Macaca fascicularis: one gene and its partners. The protein of the gene in region 3 interacts with the protein of the main gene of each other region in a biochemical or structural test. Links are inferred from orthologs where the notes say so. Each region holds a gene or a part of one and is shown on either strand. Other genes may lie near its edges. The genes, in order: ARRB1, USP8 and STAM.

Region 1 (3,645 bases), on a different chromosome or scaffold from region 3:
CAGGATCCTCATCTGTAAAGGCAGTGTAAAAATTAACCCCAGTGCTGCCTGCCCCAAGGGAGGCTGGGCTATCTAAAGGCAGAGGGAAGGACTCCGGAGTTGCCAAGAATGTTTGAGGGACTGCAGATCCTGAAAGGTCACCAGACACAGGATTTGGGATTTGTAATTTTGAGATGTTTTATTATATAAGGTCAGGATTACACACTGCCACTGCCAAGAGGCATTCTTCTAATAATCAAGGAGACCCAATGTCTAATGAGATTTAGCTTTTCAATCTTTTCATATAAATTTATGAATTAAGTTACAAAAAAGAAACGTAGTTGTTTTTTCTTCTTCTCCCCAAGCTTCCACCAAACTATGCTCCAGGGCAGGGAAGTCTGGTCCACTGCTATGACCCCAGCCCATGACCTGAGTTAGGGGAGGAGATTTCAGGCAATGTTTGGGGCACTGTTTGGGCCTCTGTTTCACCATCTGTAAAAAGGCAAAGCTGACTAGCTAGTAAATCCGCAATCCAGCTCTGGGTTCTGAGCCCTTTTAGCTGTTTCCTCGGAAAATTAGCTTGGGCATGCATGGGGGTGGGTGCCATGCCCACAGTGTGATGAGGAGATTGCACCCCTGGGCACCCCACAGCATAGACTCTGAGGACGCCGTCCCCTGGGCATGGCCAATCCTCAGTGTGAGCCCAGACCCAGGATAGAGGAGGAGAAGGAGGAGAGAAAGAGATGGCCGGGGGTAAGAGAGGGGCTGAGGGCCAAGGAAGGAAGAGAGGAAAAGCGGGCAGGGGAGGAGAAAGAGGAACAGAAGGGACAGGAGGTTCCTCCTCCAAGGTGGATGCAGCTAAAATGGCTGCAAACAGGCAGAATGGGGCAGGGGCCTGTGAGCATCTGCAACGCTCCCCTCTGCACACCAGGGTCTTGGGCTTGGCTAGAGCACTCACCCGCCCCGAGACACCACCAGCTTTACTTTCACTTTGTAGGAAACAATGATCCCCAGGATCTCACGGTTGGCGCCTTCCCTCAACCTGCAAAGTGACACAGGGGAGCCGGTTCAGGGGCCTTGCCAGGTGGGCGAGACACCTCAGGGGTGGGTGTGCTGGGGGGCAGTGGCCATCCATCCCCCATTTGGCTGGCCACTGAGCTACCATGTCCAGTAAAGTGCAGTGGAGGTGAGGAAGGTGAGCAGTGCCCTTAGGTAGCAGGGACCCAGAGCCCCGGTTCCAAGTCTGGCTGTGAGACTCGCTCGCTGTGTAGCCCTGTTGAGCCCCTCTCCCTGCCCAGGTCAGCATGCCCGCAGTGATGGCCGGGCTCCTTCTCCCCTCAGATGGATTCTGCTTCTCTCAGCAACCCATGGGCAGAAACGGCCACACACAGCGTTCACAGAGGGCCAGGCAGCTTGGATGGGGTGGGGGCCGTCAGAGAAGGACTTCTCCACAGAAGTGGTGCCTCAGCTGGGTCTTGAAGGTGGATAGGGTGTGAGCCAGTGTGGAGACAGGGCAAAAAGCTTCAGGTAAGTGGGAGGCTGTGCAGGGGCTGCTGAGGAGAGCTGAGAGAGTCTGTGCTGGAGTGGCAGCTGCTCTAGACTCAGGCCAAAGCCCCACTGAAGGACCACACTCGCAAGAGGGCAAGATGGCATCCCCATAGCCAGGGCTCTGCTGGAGCAGAGTAGCCTAGAGGCATCCATGATGACCGTGCAGCAGAAGTGACAAGATGCCCTGGGACCCCTGACTTGGAGGGGTACCTCATGTTGGGTCTAACCCAGCTCACCACCCTGGTCTCTCCTCAGGGACACCCCATCTGACTGAAGGCATTATGTCAGAAGCTGCCACCTCTTGCAGGAAGCCTTCCCAGGTTGCCCTCCCCCAGGCATGGTAGCAGAGCCCAGCACTGCCTGAGCGAGCTGGCCTAGTGGTCCATCTTATTCTCAGTCACCCCTGGGTAGGAATGGGAGCAAGGAGGCAGCTTCCCTGACAAGTCAAGCACCTGAGGACAGGCCCTGACAAGGCTGTGGAGAGGGTAGCCTGAGCTTTGTCTTTGAACTGGGGGGACCAAGGAGGGTGTGGCCCCATCAGGCAAGGTGCACTAGGAGCCCAGGACTAGGAGGGCAGGTCCTCACAGGGTGCTAGAGGCCAAGTTCGTGTCTTCATGCTTGAGCTTCCCGTCCAAGGCGAGGCCTCGCTTCTCTCGGTTATTGGCTAGGAAGGGGGTCAGTGTGTAGACCTTGCAGAACGTCGAGCTGGGTGCCACAGTGTCACTGGGAAGAAGGGAAGCAGCTGTGGAGATGGCCCTCCCCAGAGCCAACCCCACCCCTGATCTCCAGCCCAGCAGAATATCTAGTCTGGGCCTGCTCCAAGTCTCCCTCTCCCAACCTCTGTTCCCCAGATGCACGGACCACTTGGGCCAGCCCAGCTCAGGCAAGGAGAACCACTGCCACTCAAAAGAGGCACATCTATCTACATTCTATGCACAAACAGCACTGAATCTGGGATATTCTAAAAGATTGTCCAAGTCAAGCAGCACAGTGCTGAAAAGCGTATTCATTTAAAAAATTACAGCTGGCCGGGGACGGTGGCTCACGCCTGTAATCCCAGGACTTTGGGAGGCTGAGGTGGGTGGATCACCTGAGGTCAGGAGTTTGAGACCAGCATGGCCAACATGATGAAATCCCATCTCTACTAAAAATACAAAAAATTAGCCGGGTGTGGTGGCGGGCGTCTGTAGTCCCAGCTACTTGGGAGACTGAGGCAGGAGAATGGCATGAACCCGGGAGGCGAAGCTTGCAGTGAGCCAAGACTCCATATCAAAAATAATAATAATAATAAATTACAGCCACAGCCGGCACAGTTGCTTATGCCTGTAATCCCAGCAACTTGAGAGGCTGACAGGAGGATTGCTTGAGGCCAGGAGTTTGAGACCAGCCTGGGCAACATAGCAAGACCCCATCTCTACAAAAAATTTTAAATATTAGCCCGATATGGTGGCAGACACCTATAGTCCTAGCTACTTGGGAGGCTGAGGCAGGACGATCACTTGAGCCCAGGAGTTCGAGGCTAGCTGTAGTGAGCCATGATCATACCACTGCACTCCAGCCTGAGCAACAGAGTGAAACTCTGTCTCTAAACATTTAATTTAATTTAATTTTTTTATTTTATTTAATTTTTATTTTATTTTTTGAGACAGAGTCTCGCTCTGTCGCCCACGCTACAGTACAGTGGTGTGATCCTGGCTCACTGGAACCTCCACCTCCCAGGTTCAAGCAATTCTCCTACTTCAGCCTCTCAAGTAGTTGGCATTACGGGCGCACACCACCATGCCCAACTAATTTGTGTATTTTTAGTAGAGATGGGGTTTCGCCATGTTGGCCAGGATGGTCTCAAACTCCTGACCTCAAGTGATCCGCCTTCTTCAGCCTCCCAAAGCGCTGGGATTATAGGCATAAGCACCAGCCCTGTCTCTAAACAAATTTTAAAAAGAAAAAATTATAGCTACACACAAACCATAAATGAAGCTATTTGGGCAGCCATATACCCATCATATAGGCTCAACAATTAAAACGTTACTTGCTTGATCACATCCATCATACATAGGGCGTTTTGACTGTCCAATTTTTACTTGCTTTTGCTCTATCCTCCACCCTTTCCAATGAGAG
Region 2 (4,277 bases), on a different chromosome or scaffold from region 3:
ACAAGGTCAAGAGATCGAGACCATCCTGGCCAACATGGTGAAACTCCATCTCTACTAAATACAAAAATTAGCTGGGCGTGGCGACATGCTACTTGGGAGGCTGAGGCAAGAGAATGGCATAAACCCAGGAGGCAGAGGTTGCAAAAAGCCGAGATCGTACCGCTGCACTCCAGCCTGGCGACAGAGCAAGACTCCATCTCAAAAAAAAAAAAAAAAAAAAAAGAAAAGAAATTGGAAATTGGAAGCATACCTTATTATTCATCTGCTATATAAATGCAAACAAGAGTCCAATACAACTTTGTCATCAAAATTACAGTAGACAAAGCATGGCCACAAATTCTTTGACATTTTTCCCTTCAAAAGTGAGGGTTGGATACTGGTCTGACTGCTCTAACCAACAGAGTATGTTGGAAATAATGTTGTGCCTATTTCTGGGTTCAGGCTTTTTGGGAGACACGCAGCTTCTATTTCCTGTCTCCTCAAACATGTATTCTTGGAACCTAACCACCATACTGTTCACGTCAGAAGTTCAAGTCACGTGAAGAGGCTATGTGTGGGCATTCCAGTTGACATTTCCAGCTGAACTCCTAGCCAACATCAACTGCCTTCACATGAATTAGCCATTTTGGATGTCCAGACCAGCTGAGCTCTCGGATGACTCCAAACTCAGCTGCTTATCTGAATACAAACGCATTAAAGTCTAGGTGAGAACCACTTAGCTAAGTACAGGCAGGCCAGAGAAACAGGAGAGATATAAATTATAGTTTTAAGCCACTGTGTTTTGGAGTCATTTGTTACGCAGCAATAGGTAACTGGGACAACAACAAGGTATTTTTTAAATGTTTCCTTAATTATTTCTAATTTTATTAGCAACACATCCTTGAAGACTTTTTTTCCTTTCACTTCCGTAAATATGAGCGCATTTTCATGTAGAAAAGTTCATAATAAAGTATAATGCTAGACTTATGAAAAAAATTTAATGTACTGGTTTTATTTTCCAACTGTCTTACTCAAAAGTCATTTTGATTATTTTCCATTATGTCCACGCTTTTTATTTTAATTTTTTGAGATGCAGTTTTGCTCTTGTCACCCAGGCTGGAGTGCAATGGTGCAATCTCAGCTCACTGCAACCTCTGCCTCCCCGGTTCAAGCGATTCTCCTGCCTCAGCCCCTGGAGTAGCTGGGATTACAGGCGTGTGCCACCATGCCCAGCTAATTTTGTTTTTTAGTAGAGACCAGGTTTCGCCATGTTGGCCAGGCTGGTCTCGAACTCCTGACCTCAGGTGATCCACTCTCCTCGGCCTCGGAAAGTGCTGGCATTACAGACGTGAGCCACTGCGCCCAGCCACGTCCACATTAATAAACAAATGCCCATAATGATTAATAAAGTCCAAGTAAATATATTAAAAAATGAAATGCTAAAAAAGTCACCTTTAAAACATTTTTGTTAGTTTTTCTTATACATTGTTTTCTAAAAAAAATACATGCCTATGTGCAAAATTTCATTAATGACAGGTGTGTATATATATATATATATTTTTACTACTACAGGGTCTTCACTATCTAATATTAAAGATGCATCCAATGTGTCACAAGAAAAGGAATACCTATTTCAAGGCAGCCATATCAACATGATAAAGACATAACACAACCGATATCACCTTCCAGATATGCTTAATGGTCCAGGGATATGTTGTAAGGAGAAACTACCCAAATCCATCATGAATGACATTCACCAACGAATCTTAAACAGAATCGGCTGAAATGCAAAATCTGCTTACATGGCAAAGCCGCAGCAGAGCAAGCCTAAAACAGGAACACTTCCTTAACAAATAACCACTTGGCATTTTTAATGGCTGCAGCAAGATATTTACAAAACTAAGGATGCTTCGCAGATTCAGAAAAGGTAATATCCTTTAGATACAAATCCCTTTCATCTGAAACCCTCAGGTCTCTTAAATTCTAAATTCCTTAGGCTCTGCAACACCTCCGTGTCAGGTAAATATTTTGTTAGTGATTAAGTGACTTGTTCAAGGTCACAGAATGAACTGGAGGCAAGAAATAAACCCAGGAGGGTGGTCTGCAGCTTTCTATATAAATGCACATCGCTGCAAGTAAGGATTCCGATAATTTCCAAGGTGGAGTGGCGGCGAAATTAACTTGTCCCACAACTCTAGGTTGGAAGGCACTTTTTAGGGGGGCGGGGAAAAGCTTCTATTTGAGGCAGTCATAGTTTTAACTCTGATAAGCTTATAGGGTCTTTAAACTCCTACTTCACTAAAATGAAGTGTGACTAGGGAAGAGGAGAAACTGGGAAACAGTTTTAGGAGCTGTAGTAAGGCCTGGGATTGTAGGCAGATTGCAGAGAGTAAAATAAAAAAAATAAAAAAAACCAAAAACAAAAAACCGGAAGCAAGAGGAAAGAGGTCAAAGTCGGGTATAAGTGTCCAAGAGAACGGAAGAATGGTCAAAGCCACCTTTTAAAACCGAAAAACCGCACGAAACTCGCTTGGCAATCCTAGATGGGTGGCGTAAAAGACTCAAGGTTGGGCCCTTCCTCTCCACAAGCCGGTTCTACCTTTCGGAGTTGTCCCACTCCTCTCCGCGGACAGGGCTTGTCTCCCGGGTGACCAGCAGCTGGTGGAAGGAGAGGGGGTTCACAGCGGACGACTTCCCAGAGGACAGGTGCCAGGGCCCAAGACCCGCACTCACCGTGACGCCCGGCGCGCTTCACTAACGCCAGCCTTCTCGCCAAACGCCCATCTCCCAAGAACTCGAGGGAGAATTAGCCTTGGCTATCAGGACGGAAGCCAGCCCAGCTCATCCCCTTTTCCCGATTTGCATTGCGAGGCGACGCGTCGCGTCTCCAGACGTCACGGTAGGGGCTGGGCTTCGCGTGCGCTCCTTGACTTCTCTCTTTCACCGCCCTCCCCCTTTCGGTGAGGGCCGAGCGGCGGGGCGAGGGAGGGTTGAGGGAGGGTCGAGGAGGACGTTATGGGTGGGCGGCGGCGGCAAGGGCGGGATTTCTCTGAGCCGGATCAACACAGTCGGCCGGTTCCGTACCCCCCGCACTGCACCCTGCATTTCCGGGTTGCAACCGGGCGGTAGCCAAGCGGCCCAGGTTCGCTTCGCATTCTGGGCCTTGTGGAAGAAGCGAGGTTGCTCTTGCATCCCTTTACTACGTTATTTTCCTCCTCAGATTGGAAATTAGAAAAAACTTAAAAGGGGATTTAACGCCCCTCTATTTCTGTCTTAACATTCTCTGAAGCCAAGCCTTTCTTTGGTCAAAGAAAAACAGGTATTATCCTAAAACATATTTTATGTACAATTTTTAACGTCATTTAAAAGGCCCTGTCGAGGCCGGGCACGGTGGCTCACGCCTGTAATCCCAGCACTTCGGGAGGCCGAGGCGGGCAAATCATGAGGTTAGGAGTTCGAGACCAGCCTGGCCAATATGGTGAACCCCCCCCCACCCCCCATCTCTATTAAGAATACAAAAAAATTAGCTTGGCGTGGTGGCGCGCGCCTGTAATTCCAGCTACTCCAGTGGCTGAGGCAGGAGAACTGCTTAAACCCGGGGAGGGGAGGTTGCAGTGAGCCGAGATCGCGCTGCTGCACTCCAGCCTGGGCAGCAGAGCAAGACTCCGTCTGGTTGGGGGAAGGCCGGTCTAACAGAAACGAAATGAGAGGTCTGAACTTTCTCGCGAGCTGATCTTTGTACTCTCTTAGAGAAAGGTGATTGGATGCTCCGGTTATCTGTAAACATAAAATTGATTTGGGTGGAGCTTTAGGCAGTAGTCACTAAGGCCTCAGGAACACTCCGGGTGTCTTAGGGATGGGAAATCTGGCAGCAAGATCTAGTAGACGTAGGCCGGGCGCAGTGGCTCAAGCCTGTAATCCCAGCACTTTGGGAGGCCGAGACGGGCGGATCACGAGGTCAGGAGATCGAGACCATCCTGGCTAACACAATGAAACCCCGTCTCCACTAAAAATACAAAAAAATTAGCCGGGCGTGGTGGCGGCGCCTGTAGTCCCAGCTACTCGGGAGGCTGAGGCAGGAGAATGGCGGGAACCCGGGAGGCGGAGCTTGCAGTGAGCCGAGATCGCGCCACTGCACTCCAGCCTGGGCGACAGAGCGAGACTCCGCCTCAAAAAAAAAAAAAAAAAAAAAAAGATCTAGTAGACGCTTTTAAGTGAAAGTGTGTGCCACATTGTACAGTGTACACTGCTCGGGTGATGGGTGCACCAAAATCTCAGAAATGACCACTAAAAAACTT
Region 3 (4,237 bases):
ACAGTTCATCCAACAGTATGTGAGTGTCTCATTCCTCACATCCCTGATTCTTTGCAATTTTCTTTTTTTTTTTTTGAGACGGAGTTTCGCTCCCGGGTTCAAGCGATTCCCAGCCTCAGCCTCCCGAGTAGCTGGGATTACAAGCGCGCACCACCACGCCCGGCTAATTTTTTGTATTTTTAGTAGAGACGGGGTTTCACCATGGCCAGGCTGGTCTTGAACTCCTGACCTCTGGTGATCCGCCCGCCTCGGCCACCCAGAGTGCTGGGATTACACGCGTGAGCCACCGCGCCTGGCCGATCCTTTGTAATTTTTACCTAAATGACAAAACATTATGTAACTGCTACTTTAATTTGAACATTTCACTTTTAGAGGTGGGACTTCATTTTTAATGAATTTTTGTAAGCACTCTTTGTTTACTATATATTAATCCTGTGTTGACATGTCAGTATTAGTTTCCATGCTACATTTGGAGGTGCCGTAATTTGGGGGATAATTTCCATAATTTCAATTTACGTACAAGATGAGCTTACTAAGTTTGTTCCAAGTGGTATGCAAAATCTCTAGTGGATCCTCCTTAAAACTTCTCCATGACACAGAGAATAATTTTTATTGGTTAATTAAACTCAAAAGTAAAATAATTAAATCAACATTTTGAGTTGCTAGGAATCACTCACTGATCAACTTCTAGCTCCAGTTTTTTTGTTTTCTTTTTTTGCTCAGTCTAGGGAGGCTATCTTGGGCTGTGAAAGACATGTCACCAACCATCACAGCTGCTGAGTGACTGCACGGTTAGTCAGTAGGTGCCAACGCCCTACTAGCAGAGCTGTCTGCCGATTCCGAAGCCCGGCGTTCAGGGACTCCCGGGAAGGAGTCAGCGTTACCTCAGCCTCTCCGAGGGAGCCTCGCGCCCTGAACACTCCCCTCTTGGGATTCAGGCCAATCCGTTCAGCTCCCATGACTTCATCCAAGCAAATTTGTCACCTCACGCAGCGAATTAAACTGTTTACCTAGAAGATGATCCAAAGGAATTTGCATTTCCTTCCAGAGGGAATACAAGGTTATGATAACCGAGAGAGCGAGAGGAAAAAAGGGGCACGCCTCTACCCAAACTCAACCTGCTTTCTTTCTCCTGGGTCTTCCAGTCACTCCGGGGGTTGTTAGTAGGCTTCAGCACGCCTGAAGGACCCCGTCTTCCGGAGACTCCTAGCTAAGGGAAAAGCAGGAAACACAAGAACTAATCCCACTCTTCTGTGTGACTAATTAAAAGAGGAGTCAGGCAGAGGGGACTACCTGTTCAGCCTTTACTGATGGGGCAGGCTCGGGGCACCTTTGGGACAGGCAGTGCCGAGGTCGCCCAGATTCCCGACAAGCTCCGCGCGGGGGCCTTCTCGGCTCAGTGCTGTTGCCGCCGCCACCGCCGCTGCTGGGGTGGTTGCTGGGGTTGGGTGAGAGGGAGGAGCTGTCGCGGACCCTGTAGAGTCAGTCTCTGTTGCTGTTTTTGCCTGAGGAGTCTTCCTTCCTACGTCGAGCCCTGACTCCCGTGCTGTCGAGGGGGGAGTCCCCGCGGACACCTCGGCACGCAGTGGAGATGCCTCTCTTTGCCACCAATCCCTTCGATCAGGATGTTGGTAAGTGTTTTTGCTGCTCCCTGCCCATTCCTCACCGGACTGCACGCTCACTCTGCCAGCCCCTTCCTGCATTCAGGACCCTCGGACCAGGGCCGAGGAAGAGCTCGCTCTTCCCGTTTCCTGAGGTTCCCTCCTTCAGAGCTGGGAGGAGGTTGAGGACTTGGCGCATCCTCTTGAAAGAAATGGGACTCATCCTGTGAAATGGGCCTTGAGCTAGGACTGTAGGTTGCCAAAGAACTGCTGAAGGGGTTGGTGTAAAGGGCCTGGGAGGAGCAGCTGGTGTAGCATCTGGTGCAGGGACTGTGCTTCTGGACGAACAGCGAAGGGCTTAAGGCGTATGTCGGCTAGATTAGGATGGTAAACCCTATACCAAAAGTGCTTGCCTAGACAAATAAATGTTGAGCGTCTGGAACTGGCAGAATGTTTTAGGTAAGGTTCCTTAGAGGATTTTAAAATCTTTTTGCAACGGTAACTGAAGGAGGGAGCTCTGGTTAAGGTTAGACTCAAAAATGTTGCGAGCGATGAAGATGAAATACTTGGCAATAGCTGAAACCGAATTGAGGACCTGCGCCTTTGGGATGTCTCTCTTAGGCTAGGTCTCTGCCCTTAAAAAAGTGTAAAGAAGTGTGGAAGAAGTTGTTGAATCTGGAAAGAGTTTGAAGTGCTACATTTTTGTTGTTTTCTGAATCACTGGTTTTAGGTACTGATTATGTCAGTTCAATAGGTTTGCTTTTTGTTTATTTTTTATTTTATTTTATTTTTTTCCGGCTTGAAGATAATAATTATGGGAATTTGAGTTTCCGGGGAGAGAATTTTGGTTTAATATGAACGCACGTAGGAACTACCTTGGCACACAAGTGCGGAATGAAAGCAAGCCAAATACCATTTCCAAATCCCTTATGGCAGAAAGTAATGATTACTGTGAATAAGGACCACCTTATGAAGTTAATTTATACGTCTGTGTGTATTTTAATTATGAAAGATGGATGTTGAATTTTGCTTTTTTAACTCTTCCTTAGAGCATGTCACTGAAACTTGGAGGTTTATATAAGACTAGAAAAAAGGTTCATCCTTACCTCTGCCACTTCTCAGCTCACAGTGAAATCATAGGCAAGTTACGTTCTTTGAGTTCCAGTGTTCTTGTCTTCAAAGAGGGGAAAATACATCATTCCATTCTGCGGTTAAATGATATGTGTAGAGGGCCTGCTACAGTACCTTTATGTGATAGGCACTTACTAGATGCTACCTTTTTTTTTCCAGCTTAAATGAGTGTCCTGAATCTTAGCAGTGGACAGAACCTTGGAGATCACCGATTATACTTAATGAATTGGAAAATTGCATTTAACTTAATAAGCAGTTAGCACACACTACAGGACACAGTGGCTCAGTGACATAAGAGATACGGTGATGAGCAAGGCCTAGTTGCTGCTCTCAAGCAGTTTTACATCTCACTACATGAATCTCTAGGGGAAGTACTTAAAACAGCTTCTTAGTACTTGTTTCTTCTGTTTACAGTACCTTTGTCTAGTTTTCTTGGTCCTGTATAATTTAGCTAGCAACTACCCAATCACCTTTGTATTCTACTGACTTTGTGAACACGTATTTGCATTGGATTCAGGTAAATTTCTTAATGTCAAACCTGTTCCTAGTACCTGTACCACCCAGTTCAAACACAGTCACCTTCTTGCTTTTATGCTTTTGCCCTGTGCTTACGCTTTCTTTTCTCTTTCAACATATCCTTATGTGTTAAGGCCAACTCAGAATCCAACTTGTTATACCTGAATCGTTTCCTGATTGCTGTAGCAAAGGGTTTCTCAGTAGCAACGTTATTGACAGTTTGGACCAGATAAATATCTTTGTCATAGGGGTTTGTCCTGTGCAATGTAGGGTGTTCAGCCTTATCCCTGGCCTTTATCCACTAGATGCCAGTGACACCCAGCCCCCACTCATGATTTTAGAAGTCTCAGGACATTGCTACATGCCCCCTGGAGGGACAAAATACCTCCTAGTTGAGAACCACTGCACTAGTCCACTCTTAATTTCCACCTTCTTACAAAATCCTCTAACTTATTTTAGCATTTTTGTCTTTACCAAATTACTTAGCATTAAAGATATGTACTGTATTTTCCTACTTAATGAGTGGTTGCTACATAGAAGGTGTTTAATAAACGTTTGTTGAGTTGACAATGTGTCAGTTGAGCCTGCCAGATAGTACACTTCTTCAATGTAGCAACATTGTTTTGCTCCAGAAAAGCTTACTTTTAAAAGTTGCTCAAGTTTTGGTATTGGACCAATTCTCTTCTCACAGTCCGTGTATTGAAATATTCCAAAAGGTTTATCTGAGAAGACCCCTCAGAGATTCCCAGTACATAATCCTTGCGCAGATTCCAGTAGACTCCTATATTATTTTTAAATAGTATATAGAATACAGTGTATAAAATACACTTACTATTTTTTCTTTCACTATGTCATAACCAATGAGTATGTCATAACATTAAAGTAACTCATTTGATACAATTATTTATCACTTAACGCTTGTATACATTTGCACGTCTTCAAAATTATTTGTCTTCAGTCTTAATCTGAAGCAGAATCAGAAATTCACT

Evidence for each region.
Region 1: the proteins of STAM (region 3) and ARRB1 form a complex in vitro, tested with the Homo sapiens proteins (2 studies listed by BioGRID). The link is inferred for Macaca fascicularis from reciprocal best matches to the Homo sapiens genes STAM and ARRB1.
Region 2: the proteins of STAM (region 3) and USP8 form a complex in vitro, tested with the Homo sapiens proteins (2 studies listed by BioGRID). The link is inferred for Macaca fascicularis from reciprocal best matches to the Homo sapiens genes STAM and USP8.

Annotation. Positions count from the first base shown.
Region 1 is NC_088388.1:74,136,137-74,139,781, forward strand, and holds part of ARRB1 (beta-arrestin-1), read right to left. Parts: intron 2,251-3,645; coding exon 2,113-2,250; intron 1,022-2,112; coding exon 938-1,021; intron 1-937. UniProt on the Homo sapiens protein: Functions in regulating agonist-mediated G-protein coupled receptor (GPCR) signaling by mediating both receptor desensitization and resensitization processes.
Region 2 is NC_088381.1:26,904,318-26,908,594, reverse strand, and holds the start of USP8 (ubiquitin carboxyl-terminal hydrolase 8), read right to left. Parts: upstream 2,841-4,277; 5' UTR 2,478-2,840; intron 1-2,477. UniProt on the Homo sapiens protein: Hydrolase that can remove conjugated ubiquitin from proteins and therefore plays an important regulatory role at the level of protein turnover by preventing degradation. Converts both 'Lys-48' an 'Lys-63'-linked ubiquitin chains.
Region 3 is NC_088383.1:18,553,944-18,558,180, forward strand, and holds the start of STAM (signal transducing adapter molecule 1), read left to right. Parts: upstream 1-1,398; 5' UTR 1,399-1,591; coding exon 1,592-1,631; intron 1,632-4,237. UniProt on the Homo sapiens protein: Involved in intracellular signal transduction mediated by cytokines and growth factors. Upon IL-2 and GM-CSL stimulation, it plays a role in signaling leading to DNA synthesis and MYC induction. May also play a role in T-cell development.